4 linked regions of the Macaca mulatta genome follow. The protein of the gene in region 4 interacts with the protein of the main gene of each other region in a pairwise test. Links are inferred from orthologs where the notes say so. Each region holds a gene or a part of one and is shown on either strand. Other genes may lie near its edges. The genes, in order: ING5, PIAS2, RBM15 and NAV2.

Region 1 (5,642 bases), on a different chromosome or scaffold from region 4:
CTAACTACAGCCAGGAGATGGGGGAGCAAGGTGCAGGCAGGTGAGCTGGTGGGGGCCACTGGAGAAGTACAGCTGCATGTGCCATATATGGCTGAACAAAGTTTAAAACTGACAAGAGATAAAATAAGAAACAACAACTAAAACATGTTGTTTAGAAATAAGGAGTTTAAGGGCCGGGCGTGGTGGCTCATGCCTGTAATCCCAGCACTTTGGGAGGCCAAGGCAGGTGGATCATGAGGTCAGGATATCAACACCATCCTGGCTAACATGGTGAACATGGTGAAACCCTGTCTCTACTAAAATTACAAAAAATTAGCCAGGTGAGGTGGCATGTGCCTGTAGTCCCAGCTACTCGGGAGGCTGAGGCAGGCGAATCACTTGAATGTGGGAGGTGGAGGTTGCAGTGAGCCAAGATCGTGCCACTGCACTCCAGCCTGGGCAACAGAGTAAGACTCTCTCAAAAAAAAAAAAAAAAAAAAAGAGAAATGTAGTTAGGGCCAGGCATGGTGGCTCACGCTTGTAATCCCAGTACTTTGAGAGGCCAAGGCAGGCAGATCACGAGGTCAGGAGATCAAGACCATCCTGGCTAATACAGTGAAACCCCATCTCCACTAAAAATACAAAAAAAAAGAAAAATTAGTCGGGCACGGTGGCAGGCACCTGTAGTCCCAGCTACTCAGGAGGCTGACGCAGGAGAATGGCGTGAACCCAGGAGGCGGAGCTTGCAGTGAGCTGAGATCACGCCACTGCACTCCGGCCGGGGCGACAAAGAGAGACTCCGTCTCAAAAAAAAAAAAAAAACAAAAACCGGAGTTAAACACCAAAAGGCCAAAAAATACTACCAAACTTTTAAAACAATGCACACACTACATACTCTGAAAATTGAAAATTTATAAAAGAAAAAAAATGGCAATAAATATTTTGATTGGAAAGGGTGATGGTTATAAGAGCATGATATAAAGATGTGTAAGAACCCAAGAAACTAAATGTGGCTTTGAAAGTATCAACACCTACTGCAAGACACTGGGTGATACCCACAGCCCAGGGCTAGGCCAATGCCCCACTAACCTGGGTCCCCTCAAAACCCTCTGCCCCCAGCCTTCAGGAGCTGCTGGCTCCCAGCTGTCAGAACCCAGTTCTGGTTGTACTGAGAGGCCTAAACCCACCTTCTGTCCTCTGGTCCAGCTCTCGCATCAGCTGGAAGTTCCTCTGAAGTTCGCAGGGAAGGTTCTCGATACCTGAAACACAAAAACATGGAAGTCAGGTACCTCTCAGTAGCAGGACAAAAATTCACCTTCAAAGGTTGTTTTGTCTTTTTTTCTTTTTTTGAGACAAAATTTTGCTCTTGTTGCCCAGGCTGGAGTGCAGTGGTGCAATCTCGGCTCACTGCAACCTACACCTCCCGGGTTCAAGTGATTCTCACGCCTCAGCCTCCCGAGTAGCTGGGATTACAGGTACATGCCACCATGCCCGGCTAATTTTTGTATTTTTAGTAGAGACGGGGTTTCACCAGGTTGGCCAGGCTTGTCTCAAACTCCTGACCTCAAGTGATCTGCCCACCTCAGCCTCTCAAAGTGCGGGGATTACAGGCGTTGAGCCACCAGGCCTGGCCAAAAGTTTTATACTTAAAGTTTAAAATGACAAGCCCACTCTGTCTTCTGTTTCTGTTAGGGTTTGGGGAGCGCCAGGATTGTGATATCATTTTTTGACTTAGGTACCAAATAGTGCTGATAAGAGGCTAACACACTTCAAAAGCTGTCAGAAGTCAAAGAAGGGAGAGGGAAACTTGGAAACCAACAGCAGAGGCAGAGGAGGCCACCTGGCCCCACCCTCTAGGCTACCCCACCTCAGGGAGCAGCATTCTCCAAGGCTCAAGCCAAAATACCCTGGGTCCTCCTTGATCTTCCCCGACTTTACCCAGAAATCCAGTGCATCGAGCAGTGTAGCCACGCTGTCCACGCGACTTTATGCAAGGATAGAAGTGTTTTCTCTCTCGGCCGGGCGCAGTGGCTCACGCCTGTAATCCCAGCACTTTAGGAGGCCGAGCAGGCAAGTCAGTTGAGGTCAGGAGTTCAAGACCAGCCTGGCCAACATGGTGAAACCCCGTCTCTACTAAAAATACAAAAATTATCTGGGCATGGTGGTGCACACCTACAGTCCCAGCTACTCGGGAGGCTAGGGCATGAGAACTGCTTGAACCCGGGAGGCGGAGGTTGCAGTGCGCTGAGATCACACCCTGCAGCCTGGGCAACAGGGTGAGACTCGATTTCAAAAAAAAAAGAAAAAGAAAAAAGAAAAGAAATGCTCTTTCTCTGAGCTGCCCAAGACAGTGGTGGCCATCCCGAGCTACTGAGCACTGGAAATGGAACTAACGCTATTCAATTTTTAATTTTACTTAAATAGTCCCTGTGGCTATCGCAATCATCCCCAACAGTCTGCCAGGAAGACCCCCGTGCTGTTTTCCAGTCTGCACTGATATCCCCTAGAGCAGGCCAACCTCCGCCCCCTGCACAGCTGACACAGGCTCCTGAGGGGGGCTGCCTCTTCCGGTCTTGGCCACCCTCCTATCTGCTGTTCACAGTTACCAGGCAATCATTTTAAACCTAACGCTATCTTATGCATCTGATGCTTCCAGCCCGTGTTTTCCCAGGTCCCCTAGAGGACAGAGGCGCAGCCTCCCAGGCACACACACAGTCAACCCTCGTTGGGAGGCCAGCCCACTGGCTGGGCACCAGGATGGAGAAGGCTTCTCCTCCAGCGTGCTCCCGGGTTTGACTCTTCTACCCGGGGAACCCCCCACTACTCAGACCCCCACGAGACAGCAGAGCACATGGGCAGAACAGGGCGTCCCCCTAGGGCAAGGGTCTCCAACTCCAGGCCACGGCTCACTCGCCACTGTCTCAGCTCCTGGGCGAGTGCCAGGCCGAAGACCATGAGGATCCCCAGTGCAGCGCCCACATAAGGGCCCTCCAGAGTCACCAAGCACAACCCCAAACACCGCGACCCCAAAGCTGTGCCCATTCCGGGCCGACGTCAGGGGTCCCGCGTGGGCTCTGCCCCTCTACGAGCGGGGGACCCTGAGCAGTCTGCTGGGCAGCGCTGGGCCTTCCCTGGTCTGTAGAGTGAGGGAAAGCACCATCGCTCAGCCGCTGGGGGCGCCGACCTGCTGCCACCTGGACACAGCACCGCCCGCCCACCAGGGCCGACTCGGCGCCGCCCTCCCCGTCTCCGAGCTGCAGTCCCCAGGGCCGGGGAGAGACGCCCCGTGGCCCGCACGCCCTCCCCAGCCGCGGTCACACAAGAGGCCGGCGCACAGCCAGGCGGGGGCCCAAACCCCGGAGCCCCCAAGCCCCGGAGCCCCGCAGCGGGTGTCAGCTCGACCTGCAGACCGGACGGGACGGGCGGGGCCGGGAACGGGCGGGGCCGGAGCTGGGGGCGGAGACGAGGCGGGGCCTGGGTGGGGGCGGGACCTAAGCTATGGGCGGGACGAGTCCGCAAGCCCCGCCCACCCGGCCCCGCCCCGCCGTGACGCACCTGGAATTGGCGCGGCCGAGCCGGCGGGACCCCCCTCGCCCGCCCCCCGCGCCCTCCCCTCTCTTGCGGCCCTGCCCCGCCCCGTCCGCGCGCCCCAAGTCGCACCCGGCAGCGCCCGCCGCCCTCCCGAGCCCACGGGGTCTGCATGCGGTGCCCGGCGCGCGGGGGTCTGCGGCACTGGGAGCTCCGCGTGGGCGGCGGGCGCGGGGCCCGCGGAGCGCGCTTACTGTCGAGATAGTGCTCCAAGTACATGGCGGTCGCCATCTTCGTCCGCGGCCGCGCTCGGGGTCTGCGCGGGCGGGCGGTGCCGCGGGAGGCGGGGGCGGGGCGGTGCCAGCGCGCTCACTATTCATGAGACGCGCGCGCTCATTGGCCGCGGTCGGGGGCGGGGCCGGACGCGCCCCTAGGCTTCCGGCGGGCGGCGGGCTGCGGGGCCCGGGCGGAGGTCGTGGTGGCGGCGTCGTGCAGCGAGCTGGACCCAGGGCCGCAGCAGATCGGAGGCCGAGGAGCAGGGGTTCCCGGCCCCGCCGCCCGCCGTACAGCCCAAGGCACCGAGGTGGGCGTCTCCCCTCCGAACCTGCCAGCGACCCCAGGGCCACCAGACGCCAACACGTGGCCCCGGAGACCTCGGGCACGTCCTGACGGCGCTGCTCCCGGCCAGGATCCCGGCCAGGCCGCCACGAGGCCCCACCTTCCCGAAGGCTCCTTGGGGCCTGTCTGGCTCAGCGCCTTCCCTCCGGACCCCGAGCCTCCGGGGCCTCAGCCCGGCCTGAGCCGAGGGCCGGCACCGCGTGGCCGGAGCGAGCTGTCCCCTCCCTCAGGGCCTGGACCCTAGCGCCCTCCCCGGGCAAGGCCGCCCCTTCCCTCAAAGGAAAGCGGCCGCCCCGCCCAGCACCAGTGAGGGCACCAGCTCCTTTGCTGCCACCTGTCGAGGCAGGCAGCACCCGCACCATCTGGATGCCTTGGCCGAAACGGCACGTGCAAGCAATATGATATAGTTAATAAGATGGCGTGCAAAGGTGTGCAGTAAGATGCATGCAAAAATACTGGAGAAGGCCGGCACGCTGTGTCACGCCTGTAATCCCATCACTTTGGGAGGCCAACGCGGGCGGATCACTTGAGGCCTGGAGTTTGAGACCAGCCTGGCCAACGTGGCGAAACCCCGAGGCTATTAAAAATTAAAAAAAAAAAAAATTAGCCGGGCGTGGTGGTGCACGCCTGTAGTCCCAGCTACCCCGGAGGCTGAGCCCGGGAGGCAGAGGTGGTAGTGAGCGGAGATCACGTCTGCACTCCAGCCTGGCCGACAGAGCAAGACTCTGTCTCCAAAAAAATTTTTTTAAAGAAAAAAAAATACTGGAGAAACATAATTAAAATATGTTTAGGACTCTGAGCGGTGGCTCGCGCCTGTAATCCCAGCACTTTGGGAGGCCGAGGCGGGCAGATCACTTGAGGGCAGGAATTTGAGACCAGCCTAGCCAACGTGGTGAAACCATGTCTCTACTAAAAGTACAAAAATTACTGGAGCGTGGTGGCGGGCACCTGTAATCCCAGCTGCTCAGAGACTGAGGCAGGAAAATTACTTGAACTTGGGAGGTGGCGGTTGCAGTGAAACGAGATCACGTCACTGCACTGCAGCTTGGGTGACAAGCGCAAGACTCCGTCTCAAAATAATAATAATACAAAAATTAGCCAAGCATGGTGGCAGGTGCCTGTAATCCCAGCTACTAGGGAGGCTGAAGCGGGAGAATCGCTTGAGCCTGGGAGGCGGAGGTTGCAGTGAGTCGAGATTGCACCACTGCACTCCAGCCTGGGTGGCAGAGCAAGACTCCATCTCAAAAGTAAAATAAAATTGGGCAGGCGCGGTGGTTTACGCCTGTAATCCCAGCACTTTGGGAGGATGAGGCGGGCGGATCACGAGGTGAGGAGACCGAGACCATCCTGGCTAACAGGGTGAAACCCCGTGGATCATGAGGTCAATAATTCGAGACCAGCCTGGCTAACGTGGCAAAACCCCATTTCTACTAAAAATACAAAACTGGCCAGGCACGGTGGCTCACACCTGTAATCCCAGCACTCTGGGAGGCCGAGGCGGGTGGATCACGAGGTCA
Region 2 (5,028 bases), on a different chromosome or scaffold from region 4:
CCCTATCTTCCCATTTTATTAAATATATTCATTCAATTGATTCTACAATAAACGTAATACTTTCAATAGTTGCCAAACCAAGTATTTTAAATATTTTTTAATGTTCTTTTAAATATCTAAATACCCAATTTATGGTGTAAATTTTAGGTCAATTAATCATTTTAATTATAAGGAAAGAGTATTATCCCCATTACATGGCAAAAGTTTTCAATGTCTACAATCATTTATTCCAATGTCTGTAAAGTTACTCCCAGCTCTGCAATTACCTTGGTGGCAAAACAAAAAATTCCTGCTATAAATAACGCCTCAATTTCTCCATCCATAAAACAGGAGTATTATTCTGTTTAGGAACATGTAATAGGAACACTGAAATTGATGCTTCATGTAATATTAACACTGAAGCTGATGGTCAGAAATTAACTGAAATCTCCTTTCCATTCATTATTTCAGTTATATAAACAAGTAATTCTAAAATGTAAATTCCTTGTTGTATTAACTGCTATCTCATAATTGACATAATTCATTATAAGACCAAAAATCAGCCGAAAGTCAAGTTCATCAACTTGAAGGTGAAGAGAAAATATTATAATTCTAAATAAATCTTTTTATACAAATGCTCACAGATTATCTGAAATATCAGTTGTTTATATAAAGGTTAGAACAGATTATTTCTAATCACAACATGTGTACATTTAACCATTTCTCCCCCAAACTGATAAAACTTTCCTTGTTCTCTTCACAAATATTTATCATCCAAAGCTTCTAGTTTATTAAAATACTCAACACAACATTACATACAATTGCGGTTAAACCATTACCTTAAGAAATATAAATATGCATATTTTCTTTCCAGGAAAATAAAGAGACGATATTCAAGAAAACTCAGAGCTAAAGTTTTTAACTTTAAGAATCTCCATACTGCCGCCTCTGAACTGAAAATTACTGCTTTTTAGAGATTACAATCCACAAACAAAAAGAGCTGAAGCCAACAGCTTAAGAAAAAACACAGTAAGTCAACCCCCAGTGGGGTCACTGTCCTGCTACCCAAAATGGAGAGCTTTTACCTTCCCAATTTCTGATGCCCAAGAAATGGATATTTGGTTTGGCACAGCTGAAGATAACCTAACTAAAGATGTAATATTCAAGGGGCGTCCAGGGCGCTTCTGTTCAATCCCATTTTTAGGCGGTGGTGCGTAGCCCTATAACCATAAGAAAGAAAAATTATTTCAAATTATCTGCAGGAAGATTAAACATTTTCTCCAAGATAGATACAGGATCCTGCCCAATTTCAGTTACACTATTTTTATTTTAGCCTAAAAATCATATAGCCCTTATTATCATTATCAACCCAAAACAGGAAAACAACCTTTGAAAAAAAGTTACAAAATATTTCACAAGTCCAGAAAGGTAGGAAAAAAATCCATGTCCCATCATTAAAATTAAAGATGCTGACATCTTGCCACATTGGCTATGAATCGTTTTCCTTTTTCATAGGACACCAAGCTTTACAGATAAAGTCACAACTTTTTATAATGATTCATCCTTAGCAATCCCCATTTCAAATACATGCATATATTCGGGGTGGGAAAGAAAGAAAGCAAACTGGGAATTGAGGGGAAAGAAAGAACAAACTAACGAATTTCATTTTTAAAATTTGGTGAGTGATAAAAATATTTTCCACTGCATTTTCTCTGGGTGGAACAGAAATGGTAATCTTTTAACCCAGGTCAAGTTAACAAATAAGGATAATCAGCATTTCAACTGTCATTAAATGAGCTTGATGGCTATCAGATAACACTGCTATTTATGCTTTAATCTACTTTTATCTAGTCATCAACCATTTGTTTTAAATAGCAAGTATACTCATTTCTGATTCGCAGTGTATCCAATTCCCAATTACCACAAGACTTCACTCTGATTTTTCAGAGCCAAAATAATGTATTTTTTAGAAAATTAAAATATCTTAGCTGCAAAAAATCTACATATTGAAAAGTAGATACCATATTTCACTGACGCTAGGATGTCATTGATGTAATTTAATTATGTACTATTGAGAAAGAAAATACTATGTATATATGGCAAAGAAATGGAAGCAAAATGAATTAACATATTCCCTTTTGGACATAAGAATCTTCTGAATCACTTTTCACTCCACCATTAATCCATACATTTTTCCACATAACACTCCCCTATGCACAAGCAGGAATTTCAGAGAAAAAAGTATCTTTTAAAACTGTATTTCATTCCACTAATGTCTCAGATTTCTCTGCAAGTCACTGACACCATTAACTGGATGTGTTAATGGGGATACAATCTGGATCTTATGAGAATCCATCAGTGAAAAGTTTTCAGACAACAGCCAGCATTCATGCTTCTTTCTCAAAATGTCCTTAAATTATTTGTTAACTGAAAAGCCAGGAGTACAGCTAACTAGTCACGCCATGGCAATAACACCAAAGTTGTACAAGTGCAGACAATGATAATACATCACAGCTGACACCTGGTCACCAGCAATTTTAAGACACTTCTGGATTTCAGCAATGCTAAAATATGCACCTTAGGACCAATGAAAACTAGTACTGGTAGTATCACATGGCAAAGAGGACCACACCCTGACTACCACAACTTGGGAACTGTCTCATAAGGGGCAAGACAGTAATTATTAAATGGTAGTCCACATGATAATGTGTAATCTATAACTTGCAAAAAATTTTGAAAGTAATTAAAAATGTTTGAGCAGGGGAGTAAAAGACAAAGAGAAGAACTTAAATAACTTGCACTAGAATACAGAAATGAAAGAGAGAGAGACAGTGTGTGTGAGTGTGTGTGTGTGCGAGAGAGAGTGTGTGTTTATGAAGGTTATGCCCATCTTAAGTTGCTCAAGCGAAAAAAAAAAAAAAAAGTTGCTCAGAAAAAGAAAAAAAAAAAAAACTCCTAAGAAAAGTCCTCTTAAAAAGACTCAAGAAGTTGATTCAATGAGCAACAAGTACAAGGAATATCAACACCAGTATCTAGGTAATTCTGAATGAAACTTTTGTTTTGCCTGTTTTGGGCCTGGAAGATAATTCTGTCTGCTGGTATGTCCACTAGTAGGTTAACCAAATAAAAATGATACAGGGTCTGTCAGGAGGATAAAAATAACTCATGAACTAAAATGTGCACTCTGGAAATTAGAATTTAAGACATAACACAGCCTGACACAGTAGAAAAGGGCAACAGAAGCAGGAAGAGTGACACTCATGTAAGAATGAAGTGTCAGCAAACTCAGAATCATGTTAGTCTCACTCAGTGTAAAGCGTTTTCAATCTATTCTATATCCCATTTGAGTAGTGTGACTTTACTGGTAATTCTGAGTTATATGATAACCTGTATTCTACCTCTAACCATCAGCACCACCCCTACCCAACCATCAATTTCCTGGTTATTGAGAATATATTAATAGTTGGAATTTTATAAAATATAAAGTTTAGCCTTCACACATATTTCTAACAGTTTTCCATATTTAAAGCAAAAATAAAGTCAAGTTCATGTGACAGGGAACCAGTGGGGCAAATCTGCAAGCTTTCTAAGCAAAGGCTGCTGGACAGCACCAGCGGAAGACTTTGTGGTGGTCCTGTGACACACTCAAATAATTTTTTATGTTTCATGCTCTGATGACACCCTACCCTACTTGCAACTGTGACAAAAGTTGTCCACAATTATTCTACTTTAACGTTTTCCTCCAAATTTTCTAATTATCACTACTACTTGAATACTTCTAACACAGATTTACTTTTTAACTTTATGGAAATTTTCAAACATACACAAGAAAGGTACAAACAGCAGGGACCCACCAACCAGGTTCAATAATTATCCACATTGCCAATCTTGTTTCAAATGCTTTTGGCCCCAAAGCCAATCTGCCCTAAAACACACACGCCACAAAAATACACATTTCTTTTTGCCCTTGAGTATTTAAACTCAAATTCTAGACATGCCATTTAACCCAGATATTCAACATGGATCTCTAATAAGACTTTAAAAACCTACAGTATTACAACCCCACAAAAATAACAAGTTTTAAAAAATCACCTAATACCTTGTCTTTCGATTCAGATTTCCCAGGTGCCTCAAAATTTATTTTCCTTTCATCCTTTTATTATTGAAAATTTTAAACATATACAAAAATAGAGAAAAAAGTATAACACGTATATATCTATCAGTTCAGTAATTTACTTACCCATGAACAATCTTTACCTACTGTACCCAACCCCCACTCCAGATTATTTTAAAGCAAATCTCAGATATATTTTCTATTTTCTCCATATGTAGTTTAGTATAGTCCTTTTACGGCTTGAATCAGAATTAAAAACTAGAGCCCCACACCACAGTTATGTCTCTGAAGTCTCGTTTATTCTATAAACACAACCCCTGCCGTCTCCAAACACACACTTTTTCCCCAATGCTGTTGTTCTACTGGAGAAACCAGGACTTTCGACCTGAAGAACGACTTCGCATTTTAGATTAGGTATTTTGCTTCCTCGAAGTATGAGATTTGTTGCTCTATCTCCCATATATTTTTAAAACCACTAATTAGTTGTATAAGCTTGATTAAACTTGGGGTCAAAATTTTAGAAACAAAAAACTTCAGAGAAAATGTTGCATACTTCATATGGTACCACATCATAATGCACAGAAGGTTGTTTGCCCTGTTTTCAGTGGTGTCAAGACTGATTAGGAGTTCAGGGGATGTCAGCCTGATCCCTCCACTATAAAGTTCCCCGTCAAGTTTTGGCATCCATTGATGATAGCTACCTAGACCCATTATATGATTATGAATTGTGGAATAATGATTTTCTAATTCTATTACCCTTTTGATTGTATTAGCCAAAATATTTCCATAAAGAGCTTGACCAAATCAACAGCCGGTCACCTTGAAATAAATGATTCTCTTCCTTAAATCTTCAGAGCAGTGTGTTAGTGCAACCTCCAGTGGCTTATTTTAGTATAATTATTATAAACACACATATTTGATAGTTTTGAGTCTAC
Region 3 (5,771 bases), on a different chromosome or scaffold from region 4:
ATTTAACTACAGCATGGATCCAACTTATGTCATTATTCAGTTGTTGTGGAAACACACACACATGTACACACATACACATCACAGACAATATTTTGGCTGTTACTGTAATAGAATCTAGGCCTTTTCCATCTAAGCATAAAACTTACTAGTCCTCTTGGCTCCAGGCAGATTTTCAGTCCCCCTCGGCAAGCCTTTGTACTATAGCCAGCCGCGGGCAGTAGCTTCCATCAAGCTCTCCGGTATTTGAAGTGGCAAGCCACTAAGCTTGGCATGCCTCTGGTGCATGTTCACACAGACTGGGTGTCTGCTTGTCTCCCTGAATTATTTCTCTCAAATCTTGTGCTCCCTCAACCCCTATCATGAGGTCTGGAAAACTACTGATTTGGTCATTATCTTTTTCTTTGATCAGTGAGTCACCTTAGCAGGTCAATTTAGGTTAAAAAGTCACTCTAGTGCCTGGTTTATTATCTCAATTGACTGTTATATTGAGTAATTAGATAATGGCTTAACTTCAATTTCCATTTGTGGTCTATTAATATAACCCTGAAACATTTAAACCCAGGTAAAACTTTTTCTTTTATTTCATGCTTTTACAAATAATATGTTCATGTATTTTTTATCCTCCAGCATCCAGATTTTTATCTTTAAATACCATTTCCCACTAAAAGGAACCAGAGCTCTCTGGAGAAATGGCTGACTCCACAACTGGGGCAGGAAATGTATATCAGGTAAGTCTGCAGAAAACAATGGAGAAAGGAAGAGTGGGAAGAGTGATGCAGATGAAACAAGATTGACATGATTTGATAATTGTTGAAGTAGGGTGTTGGGTACACGTGGGAGTTCTTTATTCTTTTATGTATTTTAAACTTTTTCCATAAAAATAGTTTAAGGAAAGTTAAAAATGTTATTTTCTAAACTGAAGGAGTAATAGCGCGCCCTTTGTAGAAACAAAAGATTTCTACAAAGAAAAGTGAAGTCTCCCTCCGACTCCAGATCCTTACACCCCTCCTCAGGGCAATCCTAGGAACAATTTCCCACGTAGTTGTCAAGAAAGTTTCCACGAAAATATTTTTAAATGTACATACTCATAAAATACAAATATTTTTAAAACCACAAATGGTAGCGTATTATACACGTTATTTTATGCCTTCTGAAGTTTTATTTCCTATTTTAATACAATGAATATGTCTACACATTACAATATTGTGGATTTTTATGCTTTACAATTGAGCTTCTTCCTTCAAGTTTCTTTGATTTATTCAAGAGATAAAAGGCCTACAGCTTCATATTCCTCAGGATTATTTACAAAAAGAAGGATGGCTCAGCCAAGGCTAAATTTAGGTTACAGTTCCTAATATTAACAGTTTTCAAGTTTAGGTTTCAGCTTTTGGGACATTATTGTTATCCTGAAAAATGTCATGTTTAAAAACACCTCACACCTCTACTATAGATTGGATCTTGGGAAATAGGGTTGAGGACGGGATCAATATAACCTCCGCCCCGGCGCATACCCGGGAGAGCTGCAGACGGTCTAAAGGATGTGGTGACCTCAGCGCTGCGTCCCTGCAGCAACCGGCGAGTGCTGGGGCACAGGCCATATCCCCCTAAGCTCGGCATCGCCTGCACCTCTCACAGGTGCTCTGTCCGCCACAGTAACGCTCTATGGAAATTAAAGTTGTAAGGCGAACGACAGAAGGAGCCAAACGAAGTGGATCCGGAGCGGCCACAAGGTGCCTGTGCTGCTGGCTTTTAACACACAAAAAGAGGAGTGCCAAGGAATACAAGAAGCCACAGGGGGAATAAAAAGCGACATATCTGCATGGAGCCTAAATTTCGCTCGATGATTTTCAGGGAAGAAGCATTACATATTAAAAACAAACATTGCTATTTTACGGGAATACCGGATTTAAAAATCCACACAGATTCGCAACATAAAACAGGCAGCCCAAAGACACGTCCGCGGTGTCCTGACAGTTCCGGCTCCGCCCGCGGGCCACGAGGCGGGGATCGACGGTCACTCCCCTCGGTTGCCCAGAGTACTTGGGCGGCAACGGGGAGCGCCGGGGGGAGACAAGCTCCTGGGCTAGGGCTGCGTCTCAGCCACCTTACTTAGCTCTCGAGGTCCCGCGTGTTACGTGTTAGCACCGCCCCGGGGCGTCAGCGTGACCCGGGGCTGCAGGAACCGTGAACTCCCTGCCCCGCGGGCCCAGGTGACCGCGGGCATCGCTATCCCGCGCGCGGGGGGCGGGGCTTCCCCCGGCTGTACACTCAGCTACCACAGCGACATAAGATGGTGTCCGCTAGGCGTCCCAGGACGGCTTCCTAAGGGACTGGAGGGCCCCGACAGCCGGAGAGTCTGCCCCGCCCCTTGGCCGGCACAGGTAGGACGGCGGGGAGCTCAGAAGTTTCGAACTCCAAGGGCCGAAGCACAGCCAAATACCCCACGGAACTTAACAAATGTTTGTGGGGAGAACGCCAAAAACGCGGGGAGGCGGGGCTGGCGCACAGTCACCCTCTCGCGACATCTAAGTGACGTCGCATAGCAAGCACGTGTTCTAGTCTTTCACCTTCAGTCAGCCTCCTCCGTTATATGGGCCTACCCCTTTAAGCGAGTGATGGACAGTTACTTCAGCCTATCAACTTCCTTGCAGACATCCAATCAGATTTAAACTTCTTTTAGCCGCCGGAGGAGTTGGAAAAAGGGGGTCGAAAGAGGGAGCTCACCGTCTCTCGCGATATCGCTGTGAGCCTGCCTCTCGAAAAAACGCCGAAACTTGGCCCCACCTCCCAAATAGTGGTTTAAAGGACGGGTTTATAAGCCAATGAAAGGGATGAGGAGGCGGGGTTGCTGCTTTCACTGAGCAAGAAGTACCGTTACAGGGCAGACTTTTTGTCCAATCAACACAGCTACACTTTGGGTCACGTGACCGCAGAGTGCGAGGGGCGGAGCTACAGCCTGGCGCGAGGAACCGTTAAGATAGACAACAAATGTAACCAATGAGGTACTCTGACTAGGGGGTTGGGAACCCAATAACAGTGGTTGGGCGGGCGCCTTCCTGGAGCGCGGGGAGATGTAAAGATAGACAAATAATTTTCCCAATGAGACTGTAGAAGAGAGAGCTAATTGGCCAATGAGGACTGCGGGGCGGGACCCTGTGCCGCGGCGGAGTCCAAGATGGCGGCGTGCGGTTCCGCTGTGTGAAACGAGCGCGGGGCGGCGGGTTGATCAGCTCCGCGGAGACGACCTCCGAGGACCCGCAACAATGAAGGGAAAAGAGCGCTCGCCAGTCAAGGCCAAACGCTCCCGTGGTGGTGAGGACTCGACTTCCCGCGGAGAGCGGAGCAAGAAGTTAGGGGGCTCTGGTGGCAGCAATGGGAGCAGCAGCGGAAAGACCGATAGCGGCGGCGGGTCGCGGCGGAGTCTCCACCTGGACAAGTCCAGCAGTCGAGGTGGCAGCCGCGAGTATGACACCGGTGGGGGCAGCTCCAGTAGCCGCTTGCATAGTTATAGCTCCCCGAGCACCAAAAATTCTTCGGGCGGGGGCGAGTCGCGCAGCAGCTCCCGGGGTGGAGGCGGGGAGTCACGTTCCTCTGGGGCCGCCTCCTCAGCTCCCGGCGGCGGGGACGGCGCGGAATACAAGACTCTGAAGATAAGCGAGTTGGGGTCCCAGCTTAGTGACGAAGCGGTGGAGGACGGCCTGTTTCATGAGTTCAAACGTTTCGGTGATGTAAGTGTCAAAATCAGTCATCTGTCGGGTTCTGGCAGCGGGGATGAGCGGGTAGCCTTTGTGAACTTCCGGCGGCCAGAGGACGCGCGGGCGGCCAAGCATGCCAGAGGCCGCCTGGTGCTCTATGACCGGCCTCTGAAGATAGAAGCTGTGTATGTGAGCCGGCGCCGCAGCCGCTCCCCTTTAGACAAAGATACTTATCCTCCTTCAGCCAGCGTGGTCGGGGCCTCTGTAGGTGGTCACCGGCACCCCCCTGGAGGTGGTGGAGGCCAGAGATCACTTTCCCCTGGTGGCGCTGCTTTAGGATACAGAGACTACCGGCTGCAGCAGTTGGCTCTTGGCCGCCTGCCCCCTCCACCTCCGCCACCATTGCCTCGAGAGCTGGAGAGAGAAAGAGACTACCCGTTCTATGAGAGAGTGCGCCCTGCATACAGTCTTGAGCCAAGGGTGGGAGCTGGAGCAGGTGCTGCTCCTTTCAGAGAAGTGGATGAGATTTCACCCGAGGATGATCAGCGAGCTAACCGGACGCTTTTCTTGGGCAACCTAGACATCACTGTAACGGAGAATGATCTAAGAAGGGCGTTTGATCGCTTTGGAGTCATCACAGAAGTAGATATCAAGAGGCCTTCTCGCGGCCAGACTAGTACTTACGGCTTTCTCAAATTTGAGAACTTAGATATGTCTCACCGGGCCAAATTAGCAATGTCCGGCAAAATTATAATTCGGAATCCTATCAAAATTGGTTATGGTAAAGCTACACCTACCACCCGCCTCTGGGTGGGAGGCCTGGGACCTTGGGTTCCTCTTGCTGCCCTGGCACGAGAATTTGATCGATTTGGCACCATACGCACCATAGACTACCGAAAAGGTGATAGTTGGGCATATATCCAGTATGAAAGCCTGGATGCAGCGCATGCTGCCTGGACCCATATGCGGGGCTTCCCACTTGGTGGCCCAGATCGACGCCTTAGAGTAGACTTTGCCGACACCGAACATCGTTACCAGCAGCAGTATCTGCAGCCTCTGCCCTTGACTCATTATGAGCTGGTGACAGATGCTTTTGGACATCGGGCACCTGACCCTTTGAGGGGTGCTCGGGATAGGACACCACCCTTACTATACAGAGATCGTGATAGGGACCTTTATCCTGACTCTGATTGGGTGCCACCCCCACCCCCAGTCCGAGAACGCAGCACTCGGACTGCAGCTACTTCTGTGCCTGCTTACGAGCCACTGGATAGCCTTGATCGCAGGCGGGATGGTTGGTCCTTGGACCGGGACAGAGGTGATCGAGATCTGCCCAGCAGCAGAGACCAGCCTAGGAAGCGAAGGCTGCCTGAGGAGAGTGGAGGACGTCATCTGGATAGGTCTCCTGAGAGTGACCGCCCACGAAAACGTCACTGCGCTCCTTCTCCTGACCGCAGTCCAGAATTGAGCAGTAGCCGGGATCGTTACAACAGCGACAATGATCGATCTTCCCGTCTTCTCTTGGAAAGGCCCTCTCCAATCAGAGACAGACGAGGTAGTTTGGAGAAGAGCCAGGGTGACAAGCGAGACCGTAAAAACTCTGCATCAGCTGAACGAGATAGGAAGCACCGGACAACTGCTCCCACTGAGGGAAAAAGCCCTCTGAAAAAAGAAGACCGCTCTGATGGGAGTGCACCTAGCACCAGCACTGCTTCCTGCAAGCTGAAGTCCCCGTCCCAGAAACAGGATGGGGGGACAGCCCCTGCGGCAGCAGCCTCTCCCAAACTCTGTTTGGCCTGGCAGGGCATGCTTCTACTGAAGAACAGCAACTTTCCTTCCAACATGCATCTGTTGCAGGGTGACCTCCAAGTGGCTAGTAGTCTTCTTGTGGAGGGTTCAACTGGAGGCAAAGTGGCCCAGCTCAAGATCACTCAGCGTCTCCGTTTGGACCAGCCCAAGTTGGATGAAGTAACTCGACGCATCAAAGTAGCAGGGCCCAATGGTTATGCCATTCTTCTGGCTGTGCCTGGAAGTTCTGACAGCCGGTCTTCCTCTTCCTCAGCTGCATCAGACACT
Region 4 (5,028 bases):
TTTCTTTTCTTTTGAGATGGAGTCTCACTCGTCGCCAGGCTAGAGTGCAGTGGTATGATCTTGGCTCACTGCAACCTCTGCCTCCCGGGTTCAAGTGATTCTTCTGCCTCAGCCTCCTGAGTAGCTGGGACTACAGGTGCACACCACCATGCCCGGCTACTTTTTTTGTATTTTTAGTAGAGATGGGGTTTCACCATATTGGCCAGGCTGGTCTCGAACTCCTGACCTCGTGAACCGCCTGCCTCAGCCTCCCAAAGTGCTGGGATTACAGACATGAGCCACTGTGCCCAGTGGTAGCTATCTTCTATTGAGTGCATACTACGACCAGACATGACTACAAAGATGCATCTTTACAAAAACCCTGACAAAAAGGTATCATCATCCCCATTTTACAGGTGAGGAAACTAAGGCAGAATTGTTAAGAAAGGTTATATGGCAGCTAATTAAAATGGAACTAAGATTTGATTCCAAGATGATTGATTCCAGAGGCCTAACTTTTTCATCCCAACATGGGAAAATAGTCAACTGCAAAACCGTCGGCAGGATCTGCCTAAACAGCTTTACCGGAGGACTAAAGTGGAGAAAAACAGAGGGTGCTTCAACTAAGAAACAGGAAATTACTAAATCCATTCCCTGTATTCTGGTTCTGCTCAGCACCATTAATGTACTCACTTACCTGCGGAGTGTGGGAGAGGCCACATCTGGGTACTTGGCTCCAGGCTGGAGACCAGCCTGAGCCGGGCTGGACACAGGCTGGGCTGCCGGGTTCACTTTCACCGAGTTACAGGAAGCCACACTCTCGTTGTCGGATGAGATGCCTTTCTCCTTATCTGTTTGGTTGACCAGACCTGGTAGAGAGCTGCCTAGGGCTGTTTTGGAAGGCTCCCTCAGTTTGGGCACTGGCAGGCCTGCGGACTTGCTGCTGATGTTGGAATCTATGCTGCTGGTGCTAGACCTGTTCCCAGCCCCATTCCGGCTGGTGGACTTACTGGGCCTCGGCAAACTCCGGTACTGAAGGTTTGTCCGGGAGCTGAGGGCCAGATACCCGTCATCCTGATTCTGAGCCCCGTCCATGCTTGACTTCCGACCAGCAGACCGACTGATGAGTGCAGACGACTTTGGGATTTTGCCCAGTGTGGCTGACCTGCTGGTGACAGTGGCCCCACTGGCTGTGATCATGGCCAGACCGGCGGCGGAACCACTCTGCTTCTTGAACCCAAAGCTGTTGGCATTGGCAGTGGGTGTCCTAGAGCTGCTGGGGAGGGGCTTTTTGGATTCGTCACCACTGCTCCGGCCTGCATCTGATGGGGAGCGCTTCACCTGGGAGGCTTTAGGAGAAAGCCGTCCTTTCTCAGACACCTTTGCATCGTCTGTTTTTCCTAAGAGAGAGATCAGCAAGATTAGCCTGCAAGCCAAGAGCCCAGCTCATCCATCTCGTCTGTTTAAGATGCCCCCCTCCTCTGAAGAGCTGGTTCACTTTTCCCTTGGGGAGGCAGAGGAAAGAGCTTTTTATAAAAATAATATAGTCTCCTAATGTACTGTGAACCTTTTAGGAAATGTCAATAATTTTACTCATTCGCAAAGCAGTCTAAATTTACCCGGGATAAAGCAAAGCCAGCCAATCACTGATATGTCTGGGGGGAAATAACCCCCTGCCTTTTCTGACCTTTCACCCTCTGTCCATTAAAGGGCTGTCCCTAACATGTCCAGGGGGATACCCCTGCCCTTGTTTATAAATATCCCCTAAGTCAGGAACAACGTCAACTCACCATACCCACAGCTCATAAATCCATGCTGTTTAGTAGCCTGAACTGGCTGCATTAACTCACCCAGTGTCTAGTTAAACCAATTCAATACGTCTCAGCAGCCGAACCGTCTTCAGAGCTTAAGAGGCTCCCATACTTACTTCCACTTAGAAAAAGGTAGGGATGTGAAAGTTTATGGAAGCTTGTTGTTAGCAGAGTATAAATCCTGAGACAAAATATATAATGTCAAGTCCTTGCTAGAGTTAACTATGGCTTTGGTTTTCCAAATGACAACTGTAGGGCCAAGACAGCTCCGGCCTCTTACCAGTTCCCGGGGTCTTCAGTGCGCCTGCTGGTGCTGACGGCTTCGTCCTTGGCATGGTGATGCCCACCTGAGCTGTCATGCCTCGCCGCCATGAGCCTGTCTGGGAGATGACAGGATTCTTCTTGCCGGACGTGCTTTTGTCGGACTCGTCAGACACGTCAGAAGGATTCCGCCTCCACTTGGAACCTGGCTCCATTTTTATGCCGCTGTCTGAGCCTCCGTCTGATTTCTTGACATCATCACCAGACCACAGTGAATTCCTCTCCACCTGTGAGTGCTTCTCAGCATCAGTCTGTGGACAGAGACTCTCTGAATTAGTCCTTCCCAAGTCCCAGGCTGGGGAGCCCCTCACTCCAAAGGCAAAAATGCCAAAACACTGGAGTAGTTAAGGGAAAAATAATCATTACTTTAAAGATGTTTGGACTTTTGTACTCTGGTTATCTTGTCAGAAAGCCTGATTTTTTTTTTTTTTTTTTTGATCCGAGGAAAGTAAATAATATCAATGTATCCTTAGAATGGAATGAGGTGGCCGGGCACAGTGGCTCATGCCTATAATCCCAACATTTTGGGAGGCTGAGGTGGGAGGATCGCTTGATCCCACGAGTTTAAGACCAGCCTGGGCAACATGCAAAACCCCGTCTCTACAAAAAATAGAAAAAGTAGCTGAGTGTGGTGGCACACACCTATAGTTCTAGCTACTCCGGTGGCTGAGGTGGGAGGATCACCCCAGGGAGGTGGAGGCTGCAGTGAGCCATGATTGCACTACTGTACCCCAGCCTGGGTGACAGAGCTAGACTCTGTCTCAAAAAAGACAAAAAGAAAAGCAAAAGAAAGGAGTCAGGGAAGAGAGGAAAAGGGGCCCAGGAAAAAAGAAGGAAAGCGCCCTATCAAGGGGAAGGGGCAGAGCAGATGGAGATGCAGTGGGAATTCAGCCACCACCTATTTTCTGCCACTTGAACAAGCCTCTCCAACTCTGGATGCTAATCTCTAACCAGCATCCAGTCTCCTGGCCCGTTTCCCTTTGTTCTGCCTTCTTCCCATCACTCCACCGCAGTGAGATCTTTGGATCTAACACACCAAGCAAGGGAGTAAGTGAGCAAGGGTGGCTGCTGGTTCTACTCAAATCAGGGAGAGCCAGGAGCAGAGGGGAAGCACATCCTCAAATGATACTTCCCCCAAATGTGGAGAGCCAATGGTGCCTGCTCCGATCCCAGCATTATTTATACACCACTGCTTTGCTCCCCTTGTGGGATTTTGTTCTGACAAGGGATATAATTAGCCAGCTTTCTTTGGAAGAGCCCTGACCTGCTGGCCATGAAACCCAGAAGGGGACAGAAGTGTGACGTTAATGATCTCCTGCAGCTAAAAGGCATAAAGCTGACCAGAATGCTTTGGAGGCCTCCTGGGGTTTGAGGCTAGTTGGAGGATGTCAGCACAGTAAATGGGGAAGGGAGGTCAGAAGCGCTTTCAGGGTGGGTATACTAAGATACCAGTCCCGTATTTGCAATGCTTAACTACCGAGAGTAGGCAAGATAGGAAATTAAAATGAACACCTGGCAAGAATCTGCCTAACGTCTGTCATCCAAGAATGGAACAAATGCCTTCCTCCATAGAATACAATGGCTGAATGGGATAAAAGCTAAAAACAGATAGGCAGCCCAAGTTCAACTGCCTCCCCCACACCACCCCAACGCCTTCTCCCCTTATGAATTCCACTTGTCCATTACAGACACCTTATGAGTTCTTTCATTTGTTTTTTTCTAGCTAAGTATTAGTCATCAGAGATATGAGGAGGACAAGCACACACTTCCTGACTATGAGAAGCTCATCATTCAGCTGTGGCAAGGGACAGAGAGAGGGGAGTTCCTACATGTGGGCCCAGGGCAGGAGCTCACTCAAAGCTTGAAGAGCGAATGAGTGAGCCAAGGAACCAGCCAAGGAACACAGGCTTTTCAGGCCACAACAGACATTAACAAAATTATCTTATCTGATCTCAGCCTCTATTTAATCAGAAAGGGTTAAGTACCAAGTACTCTTATACCTTTATCTCAGTCTCACAGAAATTAAAGTTGCCCATTCTTTGTCCCAACTACCGCAGGTCAGTTTCCTTCCTCTAAACACTTTCAGCACATTAATCCAACCAGAATTTACTCCATGCTTGCTGTCTGCCAGGCACCACGGAGGGTCAGAGAATCTGGGGGTAAGACTGATTTCCCACCCATCGTGGAGCTTACGATTCAGTTAAACGCAGCAGAGATTGAATAAATAAATACCAACAAGGGTGTAATTGTAGATTACGAAGACTATTATAAGGAAAAGGACAAAGAGTCTGAGAAAGAAATATAGATGTTGACCTAATTTAGATGACAATGAGGTGGGCAGGCGACAGTGATCAGCTCAAAAAGAAGTACCCTAAAGAAAGAGAAGAAACTTACTTAGTAAAAGAAGGGTTTGGGGCAGAGCATACCAGGGAGAGGGAACCACATGTGTAAAGGCCCTGAGGCAGAAAATAACTTGGCTTTGGAACATTCACTTCACAAATATTTATTGGGTGCCACTACATGCCAGGAAAGCTGATTCGCACTAGGAATACTGCAATGAGTAAGTATAAATCATTAACCTCATGGAGCTTACATTCAAGTACATTTTAACATATTCTAATATGCTCTAAGAGTTACTGAAAATTTAGCACATGCCACATCCTGGGTTACTGCATTATTTATTCTTTTAATGTTCCTATACTTATTTCCCCCCCAATCAAATTGTAATGGTGCTAATACTAGTAGCATTAACAACTACAATTTATTAAGTACTTACTATGTCCCAGGCACTAAGCTAAAGTGCTTGATATGTATCATTAAATTTAATCCTTATCAAAAACCTATGAGGAAATTACAGCTAATAGTCTCAATTTCACATGACAAAACTGAGGCACAGAGTGAAAAGAAAATTTCCCAA

The links.
Region 1: the proteins of NAV2 (region 4) and ING5 interact in binary tests that used the Homo sapiens proteins (3 or more experiments, as listed by UniProt). The two-hybrid records come from large-scale screens. The link is inferred for Macaca mulatta from reciprocal best matches to the Homo sapiens genes NAV2 and ING5.
Region 2: the proteins of NAV2 (region 4) and PIAS2 interact in binary tests that used the Homo sapiens proteins (3 or more experiments, as listed by UniProt). The two-hybrid records come from large-scale screens. The link is inferred for Macaca mulatta from reciprocal best matches to the Homo sapiens genes NAV2 and PIAS2.
Region 3: the proteins of NAV2 (region 4) and RBM15 interact in binary tests that used the Homo sapiens proteins (3 or more experiments, as listed by UniProt). The two-hybrid records come from large-scale screens. The link is inferred for Macaca mulatta from reciprocal best matches to the Homo sapiens genes NAV2 and RBM15.

The regions. Positions count from the first base shown.
Region 1 is NC_133417.1:146,981,432-146,987,073, reverse strand, and holds the start of ING5 (inhibitor of growth protein 5), read right to left. Parts: upstream 3,817-5,642; 5' UTR 3,799-3,816; coding exon 3,762-3,798; exon of another isoform or gene 3,640-3,761; intron 1,239-3,639; coding exon 1,167-1,238; intron 1-1,166. UniProt on the Homo sapiens protein: Component of the HBO1 complex, which specifically mediates acetylation of histone H3 at 'Lys-14' (H3K14ac) and, to a lower extent, acetylation of histone H4. Component of the MOZ/MORF complex which has a histone H3 acetyltransferase activity.
Region 2 is NC_133423.1:45,529,665-45,534,692, reverse strand, and holds part of PIAS2 (E3 SUMO-protein ligase PIAS2), read right to left. Parts: intron 1,200-5,028; coding exon 1,065-1,199; intron 1-1,064. UniProt on the Homo sapiens protein: Functions as an E3-type small ubiquitin-like modifier (SUMO) ligase, stabilizing the interaction between UBE2I and the substrate, and as a SUMO-tethering factor.
Region 3 is NC_133406.1:129,853,470-129,859,240, reverse strand, and holds the start of RBM15 (RNA-binding protein 15), read left to right. Parts: upstream 1-2,260; 5' UTR 2,261-3,131; coding exon 3,132-5,771. UniProt on the Homo sapiens protein: RNA-binding protein that acts as a key regulator of N6-methyladenosine (m6A) methylation of RNAs, thereby regulating different processes, such as hematopoietic cell homeostasis, alternative splicing of mRNAs and X chromosome inactivation mediated by Xist RNA.
Region 4 is NC_133419.1:45,373,821-45,378,848, forward strand, and holds part of NAV2 (neuron navigator 2), read right to left. Parts: intron 2,363-5,028; coding exon 2,071-2,362; intron 1,380-2,070; coding exon 677-1,379; intron 1-676. UniProt on the Homo sapiens protein: Possesses 3' to 5' helicase activity and exonuclease activity. Involved in neuronal development, specifically in the development of different sensory organs.